Linked DNA regions of Rattus norvegicus. The protein of the gene in region 2 interacts with the protein of the main gene of each other region in a biochemical or structural test. Links are inferred from orthologs where the notes say so. Each region holds a gene or a part of one and is shown on either strand. Other genes may lie near its edges.

Region 1 (4,607 bases), on a different chromosome or scaffold from region 2:
CTCTGGGCTGACACTCTGGCTCTTTGCTAGTTCTAGTTGAGTTGTGTGAGGACTTCATAAGAGATTGTAATAACCATGTCCCACTAAGAAGTTAATTGAAAAATTAGTGCATTTCATAAAAGATAAAAAATTTCAGAAGTCCAGGTGACTTGCACATGTACTATCTCCAATATTAGCATGTTCTGTGGCAGTTTTCTTAGTAAATTCGAGTCGTAGTAGCTGATGCACAGTCCAGAAGGTTATTGAATACTTCCCTAGTCAGAAAGACAGCTACTTTCTCACTTACCACAGTGGGAATTTACTTGTCTCACAGTGTCTAAATTCAGTCTTTCCACTAACTAGCTAAATACTTTACACAAGTTAGAACACCTCACAAGTTTATAGATAAAAATCAAAGAAGCAAAGACTGCCCTCTTTCACCTCCTAGGATCATACTTTACAAATTGTAAATCACTAAAAAAAGTGATGGCATCACCATTTAAATTTGTGTAAAGCTCCCTGCCACTTCTTAATGTAAAGAAACGAATGGAATCCCAAAGGCAAGCATTTCACCAGCGACTACATCCTAGCCCTCCTTCATTTTCCGCTGTAAGACAAGGGCCTCACTAAGTTGTGCAGGCTGTCCTTGCACCTGCTCTGTAACCCAGGCAGGTCTTGAACTGGAAATCCTTCTGCCTCAGAGTATGGAGTAGCATCTGTCCCCAGACTCAGCTTCCATGCTCTCTGTCATTTTCTCTCTGACATTTTTCATCAATTGAAACTTTTTGTACTCGTAGGAAGGTGGCGTTTTGATCAATCAAATCTCTTTCACTCTTTGCCCTTCTTATAGGTGAACCACACCAAGAAAGGACCATGTCAGTTTCCTCAAACTTGCCACAGATTATGAGATAAGGTATAGACTTTTCTCCAGCTGCTAACCTATCTTGGGGAATGTCAGGTTCAAAGTTCACATGTTATCAGTGCTCCTCAGAGTCAAGTCTTCTGGGTGGTAGGAACCACAACCAGGGTAAGAAATTTAAATGTATAGCCTTTTTTCCTGCCTTCCTTATACACAATAGATTGTTAGCTGTATATTACATTTTAGCAAATGTGAGCTAACGGCTTCTTAAGTTCTATTTTACCAGGCTCCTACAGTTCTGATCTCATGCTGTATATATTCACAATGCTTTTTGACGTAACAGGAGACAGCACAATGGAACACATTTTCAAGGAAAATGGAGGTTACTTCTGCTGAAAGCATCTTCCAAATTCCAGGAAAATTTCCCCATTTCACATGCATTCTATTAAAACTTCCTTTTACATTTGATTTAAATGGTTGAATATATCAAGTAACTTTGTATTTAGAATACCAGTCAAAATGGGTAAGCTTTTTGATCTTCCTCAAAGAAAAAAGGAGAACTACATACAGCAACTCAACTGACCTGTCAAAGTAAATGTATGAAGAATAGTTAGTACACAGGAGCTCTGCTTCACTGAGGTAACTCTTTTAACTTGGAAAGCAAACAAGAGTCATTTTTATGTTGAAGAACAACCTTTTTAGAGAGCGGTATACTACTACTAAAAAATTACTTGACACTTCCTAACAACTATTTAATCAACCTTCAATGTTCTAATGCTTCAAGAAGTAACAGAGACTCATCCGGGCCCTGTGACTTACTTGAGATTTCATAGCCATAGATTCCGAAGCACTACAAAATTCTTCAGAAGTCGTTTTTTTTCTTCTTTTTAAATTAGTACATGAAGTAAGGATATAGCTTAGTGAGTATAGGATTGCCTAGCAGGCCAAAGGACTTGGGTTCAACCCCCCCAGCACAGCCTAGAATGAGCATGGAGGCACACAGGCCTATAATGCAGCCCTGTCACTCAGGGGTGGAAGCTAGATAGCTAGATGATCAGGACTGCATGCTAGGTCTCAGCTACCTGAAGGAAGACCCATCTTGGGGTGCATTAGAACCTATCTAAGAAGATTGGGATATTACACATGTAGTACAGGAATTAACAAGCACTGTTGAAGAACAGCCCTTCCTGCTAGTCTTGGAGATTAACTAAAGTCTTCTTTGGTCTGGAAAACTTGAATCTATTGACAGCAACAGGATATACTACCTGATTTTTCAAGCTCTCTTTCAGGTTTTAATTCTATTATTCAACAGTTGGCCTTTAGTTAGTTAAGATTCTATGAAATGAAAAAAGTCTGACAATAATTTAAAGATCTTACTCATCAAACCATATTAAGCTTAAAAAAACTTAACCATCAAGTGATTCTATTTTTCTAATATGATCAAATTTTATCACCACATCAACATTCCAAGAAATCCAGAACAATAAAATATTTTCAAAAAATAACTTTGAAGGTACACGGTGGCACACATGTTCAATCTTAGCATTTGGGCAGCAGAGGCAGGTAGATGGATCTCTGTGAGTTCAGAGCTAGTCCAGTCTACATTAGTGAGTTCTAGACAGCCAGCACTACATAGTAAGACCCTGTCTAAAAGACACCAAACAACAGCAACAACAACACAATAACAAACAAACCCATAAAACAACAATAACAAACCTTCCAAGAGCAGATCAAATGCAAAGCTTTATTCTTAACTTTCACAAAATCATAAAATTATATTTATCAAAATGCAAATACAAGACACAGTTGGCATCTTGGACCTTATTCTCTGTGACATGTTCTCAAAAGAAGTGGGGTTCCTTGCACCGATGGTTCCCTATTACTCAGTTTAAAGCCTTGGAACTTAAGGACATCATATATAATTTTCTAACAAACATAAAAATAAGAGATATCTTTTTCAAACAAAGGATGACTGCCACCCTTTACAAATTGTACATAGAATATAAAGCAGCATTTACCTCTATCGTAGGATCATATTCATCCACAAAGTGATTCTGAATTAGCTGTATCGTCAAGGCACTCTTGCCTACGCCACCAGCTCCAACTACCACAAGTTTATACTCAGTCATTTTCAGCAGGCCTTATAATAAAAATAATAAAATATAACTAAATTAGAACATGTTCCACACAAGATTATCAAGTACTTTATCAGTATGTTAACACTCACCTTTGTCTGTAAAACTCTAAGGCATTCTGAATTCAGTGACTGCAGTTGTACAGAGTAACCCTTATATGACTGACAACTCCCTCATCAACACTTAATAGACCAGTCCTTTCATCTTCTATCATTAGCTTGTTTGATCTGAACAGCCAGACTACTCTTGTAGCAGCGAATGGCTCTCAAAGGAATGTATCATGGCTTCACTCAGTACAAGGACCCTGCACCATACTCTATACCCTGTGGCCACACCCGCAGGAGCTTGTTGACAGCTAGCTCAACACCTACCCTTGCAGTACTCATTGTTGGCTGGGCAGTAAAAGTTAGAAGTTAGAGAGCCTAAGAGCATCTTTGCCAACTGTCGCAGAAAACAGTTTTAAAGCCGTCAGTTCTGCAGTGATAGGCAACCAAATAGGAAGCTGGTGTTAAAACTGAATTGTTGTGGGGAAAGAAACATTTAGGCAATGAAGCAAATAAAGATATTTGGTAACATTTTAATCTATAAACTATCTGTGGGGAATGGAATTAACTATTTGGTGTAAGATCAGATGAATTATAACAAACATAATCCTTTGAGTACTAAAAACTACCTTAGTACCTCTGTACAAGAAAATAAAATTGAATACAATTCAGAATTAAAGACTTTTTTGGCAAGAAGAAAAATGTGAAGGAATGTAGAGATTCTCAGTAACCCCTGCGACTTGTGCCTTGTTTATAATACGCTGCACTCCCACCAGGTGCACTAAGCACCGGCAATTTATACAGTTAACAACCCCAGGTAGAACAGTTACTTTCTAGTCTGCTACTCCAAACAAAACTTTGAAATAAATATATTCACTTTATCTCCTTCCCCTTGATACCATATATTATTACAAATAAAGAGACACATGGATGAAAAGAATAGCATTAAAGTGACAACTTATTATACAGTAAGTAGTTCCAGGTCAGTGTAAGTATATATAGCGTAAACAAACACAAAATACAGTCTACTTATTGATGACCAAGAACTGTTCACACTGGTACCAAGAGGGGAAAATGCAGTTTGTTTTTCCAACTCCCTGTAGTCCTCACCCTGGGCCTGAAGCCCTCAGGAACAATACCACAAGGTCAGAAAACCATTGTCATCACACCTTCATCCAACTCCGGCCCTACTTCGCCCCACCTATCCTTTCTTGCTGCTTGTCAGGAGCCATCCGGTGAGCCATTAGTAACCTAACTTACCTGTGTGTCTTCAAGTTTTATAACAAATGTGGACCATGGCAAATGGGATAGATGAAAAGAATCACAAGGAAATGTGACCTTTGCCCCTCCCTCCTACAAACAGTGTGGCTAGTTTACAAGAGCAATTTTGGGTCCCTAAAACTTTGTGTGGTAGGGAACAGGATAAGGAGGTTAGAACTATTTTTACAGCAATTGCTTTTTAGCCTTCTTACTATTACAAGGACAATTGGTTCTCTAGGCCCTGTAATCACAATAAAGAGAATACAGATGCAGATGAGATGTAGATATGAAAGAATACAGTTATCTCCTATGAAGACACAATTAAACAGA
Region 2 (4,384 bases):
ACAGCTGAGGCTGCCATTTATAGGTTTTGCATACTCTACACCTGTGTGGTGTCTCCTGGCACGAAACTAGCCCTATGAGGACAGGGTGGGACAAGAGGCAATGCTGCCAGCCTTTAAGTGGAACTCTGGGAAAACTGTCCAAGCTGAGGCCTGTCCATGCCCTGAGATCCCACAGCAGCTCCTGGCCCAGGACATTCTGGTGACTGAAGGCCCCTCCCAAGTCAGAAACTACTTACCACCAACTAGACCAGACAGCCTATAGCTCACAGGAGCTGGGATAACTTAAGACATGCATTCTCACAGAGAGCCATGAGAAGGGAAGCCATCCCAGGCTCTCATCTGTTATATTTCTCCCTGGACCTCCATGATGAGCTGACTCTATCAGCCAGTGAATCTGGTCCAGTGATGCTGCTCTCCAGGACAGGCAGAGTCCTGAAGCCCAGGGGCCACCCACCTGCACCAGGAGCAATCCTTCACGTCGAACCGCAGGAGATCATTGAGCATCGTCTTCCTGAAAGGCAGTCAGAGAGAGAGAGCTGCAGCAGCCAGGATATTGCAAGGTGTTACCTCACCAGGATCTTTAAGATGGGAGAGGGCATCCACTTAGGATTGGAGGCAGCAAGAAGGACCTGACTCACTGACCTGTCAGACAACTTGTCAATGTCCACAGCTCAAAGTTAGTGACTAGGTAGGGGCAACTAGGGCTCTCACACAGACAAGGCCAGCCTGATCGCACCACCAGCACCCCACTCAAGGGCCCAGAGCTGGAGTCCTCATTCGCAGCTCGCCCAGCCCCGAGAAGTCCTATCCTGCACTGAACCCTTCCTTCCAAGGCTGCCCTACAATGACAACATTCTGTCTCAAACAATGGTGGAGACCTGCATGCTTTTCCCTCGGCTGCCATCTGACATAACAACTGTATCAAAAGTAATTCCACTGCTCACTGGGCCAGCTTGCATTTAATATGCAAGTTGGGCATATTACCAACTTGTTAATGTGGAAGAAAGGAGAACCAACAGGAGCTGAGGCACTCCCTCCAGGGCCAGGCTTTTGCAGGGTATCTCTTTGGTGTTGACCCCAAAACCTAACAGTTTCCCCTAAAACCAGGAGACTACAGTCTGTCTGAGTCAGTTTGATAAGGAAGCCCCCACTGATGTAACCCTGAAGGATTTAAGTTAACTGACCAGGCCCCATCTCCACTGCCAGGTTTCCTTGCTCTTAGCTTCTAATACCAAAGTTGCTACTCATCTTTCCATTCTTAATGGAGGACACCCTGATTTATCCTAAGTCACAGGCAAACAGATGTGTAACTGACTTTCTCTACCTTTTCTTTTGAAACTGCATACTGAAAGAAAGCATTTCTGCTTATTACCAACCAGTTGTCTACCAGCTCCAGAAGAAGCTGAGGACAGTGGTCCTGACATCCTCACTACCCTATGCTAGACACCAGTCTTTTTTGGTGTATGAATTCTTACTAAGGCTCGTCCTTTTCTTTTACTCCGTAAATGGGTACATCTGGACACTGATGTAGGGAACTGAGTATGAAAACAGATCACAGCCAACACCAGGGGCAAGTGGCACAGGAAGAGGTAAGAGGACACAAGGCCTCATCCGTGAGGACATTAGAAGGGAGACGGAAGTGTACAAGGGCTGGGTAGCGAGGGTTGGGGACAATCCAAATACAAGGCCACCAGAGAGACAGGACAGCACTAACAAGGAGGCCACCCCTCCTATTAGGACTGGTCTTTACACAGAGAAGATGGGGACATTACAGGGCTGTGAACTGAGGAGCACGCTCTGACATGCAGTTGTACATGAATCCCCAACTGCTCTTGGAGAGAGACTGCGGATGTGAGCCAAGTTTGCATGTCCTAATAGAGAGAGTCCTGAAACCTCACTGCCTCTAGGTCAGCCGCCTCATGTAATCTACAGGACCAAGGCTGTAGTGCCAGGTTCTAGGCCCAAGAGGAAGGAAAGAAAAAAGTGACAGGCAGGGATAGCAACAAGAGCACACGTGTTTCTTCCAAAGCTATATCTCCTCACTAAAACAAGGGCATTTATTCCCACGTACTGAGCACGTGCTGCCATTTGAGTGATGGGTGAAAGGGCTTTAAGGGTAGGATCTTCCTCACCATAACATGGGAATCAGGTACAAAGCACCACACACATGGGGAAACAGAGGCTCACAAGGCAGGGCTACTAACTCCCATTCTCAGACAACAGGTCTGTCTCTCTGTCATCATCCCCTGCCACCATCAAAACAGGCAAACTTACCCATTATCTCCGCCAAACACATAGATGGCATCCTTATACGCCACGACTGTGTGTTTGCTGCGCCTAGAAAAAGATAAAAGGGGTGAAGAGTGGTGAGACTAGGACTCTTCTGGCTGGCACCCAAGAAATGAGACTACACATCTCTGCTGCCACCTAAGTTTGGATAAAGCCTCCCAACCGCTAAGATCTATAGAGATCCTTCAGTTTCTTCAGACAGCAAGGACGCCTGACACACCGGAGACTTCCCACTCATACCTCACAGCTCAGGGACCCAAACAGGATCCTCAGAAACACAGGTCTGGTACCCTACCTAGGGTCACTATGGTGTTACTCCCTGGGAACCCAGCCTTGGAATGACCAATCCATACTCCAAGACATCACAAGGGATCTCTCCCCTAGAGCCCGTCCTAAAACTTCAGCTCTCGTCCCTACTACCAGTGCCTTCAGGATCCCCTGTACACTGCATACCGAGCGCCTACGAATTCGTCGCAGGGCGGGAGGCGCCGCCAGCGATGCACAGTTTCGAAGGGTCCAAAGTTGAGCGTCAGGTACTCGACACTGTCTGAGCAGCTGTGGTCAAAGTCCACGCTCGGAGCCACCTTGGAGCTCACCCCTCCTGTCAAGGCCCCGGGCCCAGTGGGGCCTCCGGAGCCTGCCATCCCTGGTTCAGGCCGAATAGGCCACCAGGTTGCAGGACTCACGGCCACCGCCCGGGCCAAGTCAAAGGACCACACTTCCCAGAGGGCCCTGCGCCCCTGGTGTAGCACTTCCGGCCAGCTTGTCCGCCCTCCCGACAAACCTAGCGCTCCCCGCGACGCGGCGGGTTGTCGAGGAACCTGGTAGCCAGGCTCCTCGCATTATCATGTATCGATACGTCACATTCTGGAAAGCATTTTTGGCCAAGTCTCGGCTTGGGTTTCCCCTTTCAGGAAACGCAGTCTGGCTATAGTCAGCCACTAACATTCTCTAGGCAGCGGCGAGCTACACGCTCCCGGCATGCCTTGTAGTCGGGCTTTGCCATCTCCCGGAAGCCCCCCCACCCCGCCCTCCTCCAGGATGAGGTTTCCGACTTGCAGGCGAGCGGCTCAACTGTCCAACACCTTCTGCTTATGTCCCCCAACCGCCCTCCCTCTGTCCCCCTCTCCCTCCGTCCTCTCTGCGATGGGCTTTGAACCCCAGGACTTGATGGGCATGCACTCTGCCACTAGGCTACAGCACAATCGGTGGTTTTTTTAAGTTGTAGTCTATTGCCAGCTGAGTCGCCTGTGAAATGATGATTCAGGAAGTTCAGGCAAAAGGAACACATGTAGTCGTGAAATGGATATAAAGTTAATTAGTTAATTGGTCTAGTTTTAACTTTTTTTGTAAGAGCTTATAAAAAAGAGCTTATAAAAGCCAATGGCTGTCCTGACTACAAAAAAGTTGATATATAGAGTGGGACTGGATAGGTTTTTGGGTGACTACTGTAATCCAACAGAGTATATTTGTGAGTTTATAACAATGAAGTGATTTTCGATTTTTGTTTTTTCCAGACAGGGTTTCTTTGTGTAGCTCTGGCTGTCCTGGAACTAGCTCTGTAGACCAGGCTGGCCTTGAATTCGGAGATCTGCCTGCCTCTGCCTCCCAGGGGCTGAGATTAAAGGCATGTGCCACCACCTCCTGGCTGTGATTAATAATAATTATTATTATTATCACTATTATTATACCAGCTTAGCTTGCTGTGGGCAGTATGGAGTCTGCAGGACCCAGCTCCTGTCTCCCTTAAGTGGACAAATACAAAAGCTGCCTCTGGCTTCTGAAGCTTTTTAAAAACAAAAGATTTCATGTAGTCCAGGATGGCCTGAAACTTCTGACCTTCCTACCTCTGCCTGAGTGCTGCTATTACAGATGTGTCACATCATGCCTAGCTGTTAAGTGTTGGCCCAATTATACTGGGACACAGATCTGCTGATATATGTGTTTTAATTTTAAGGTAATGTTGAAGGGGCTTGCTGGGAAAACAGTCCTAACAGAGGAAGCAGAGACAGAGCCTGTCCTGCCTCTAAAACCAGCTGTCAGTGACAGCTGAGGCCTTCGGAACGGATCATCTTCTGGAGGCAGTAGTAGCCTC

Evidence for each region.
Region 1: the proteins of Lztr1 (region 2) and Kras form a complex in vitro, tested with the Homo sapiens proteins (2 studies listed by BioGRID, with this or other methods). The link is inferred for Rattus norvegicus from reciprocal best matches to the Homo sapiens genes LZTR1 and KRAS.

What each region holds. Positions count from the first base shown.
Region 1 is NC_086022.1:179,943,204-179,947,810, forward strand, and holds the start of Kras (GTPase KRas), read right to left. Parts: upstream 2,968-4,607; coding exon 2,857-2,967; intron 1-2,856. UniProt on the Homo sapiens protein: Ras proteins bind GDP/GTP and possess intrinsic GTPase activity. Plays an important role in the regulation of cell proliferation.
Region 2 is NC_086029.1:97,004,881-97,009,264, forward strand, and holds the start of Lztr1 (leucine-zipper-like transcriptional regulator 1), read right to left. Parts: upstream 2,972-4,384; 5' UTR 2,934-2,971; coding exon 2,743-2,933; intron 2,338-2,742; coding exon 2,275-2,337; intron 512-2,274; coding exon 455-511; intron 1-454. UniProt on the Homo sapiens protein: Substrate-specific adapter of a BCR (BTB-CUL3-RBX1) E3 ubiquitin-protein ligase complex that mediates ubiquitination of Ras (K-Ras/KRAS, N-Ras/NRAS and H-Ras/HRAS).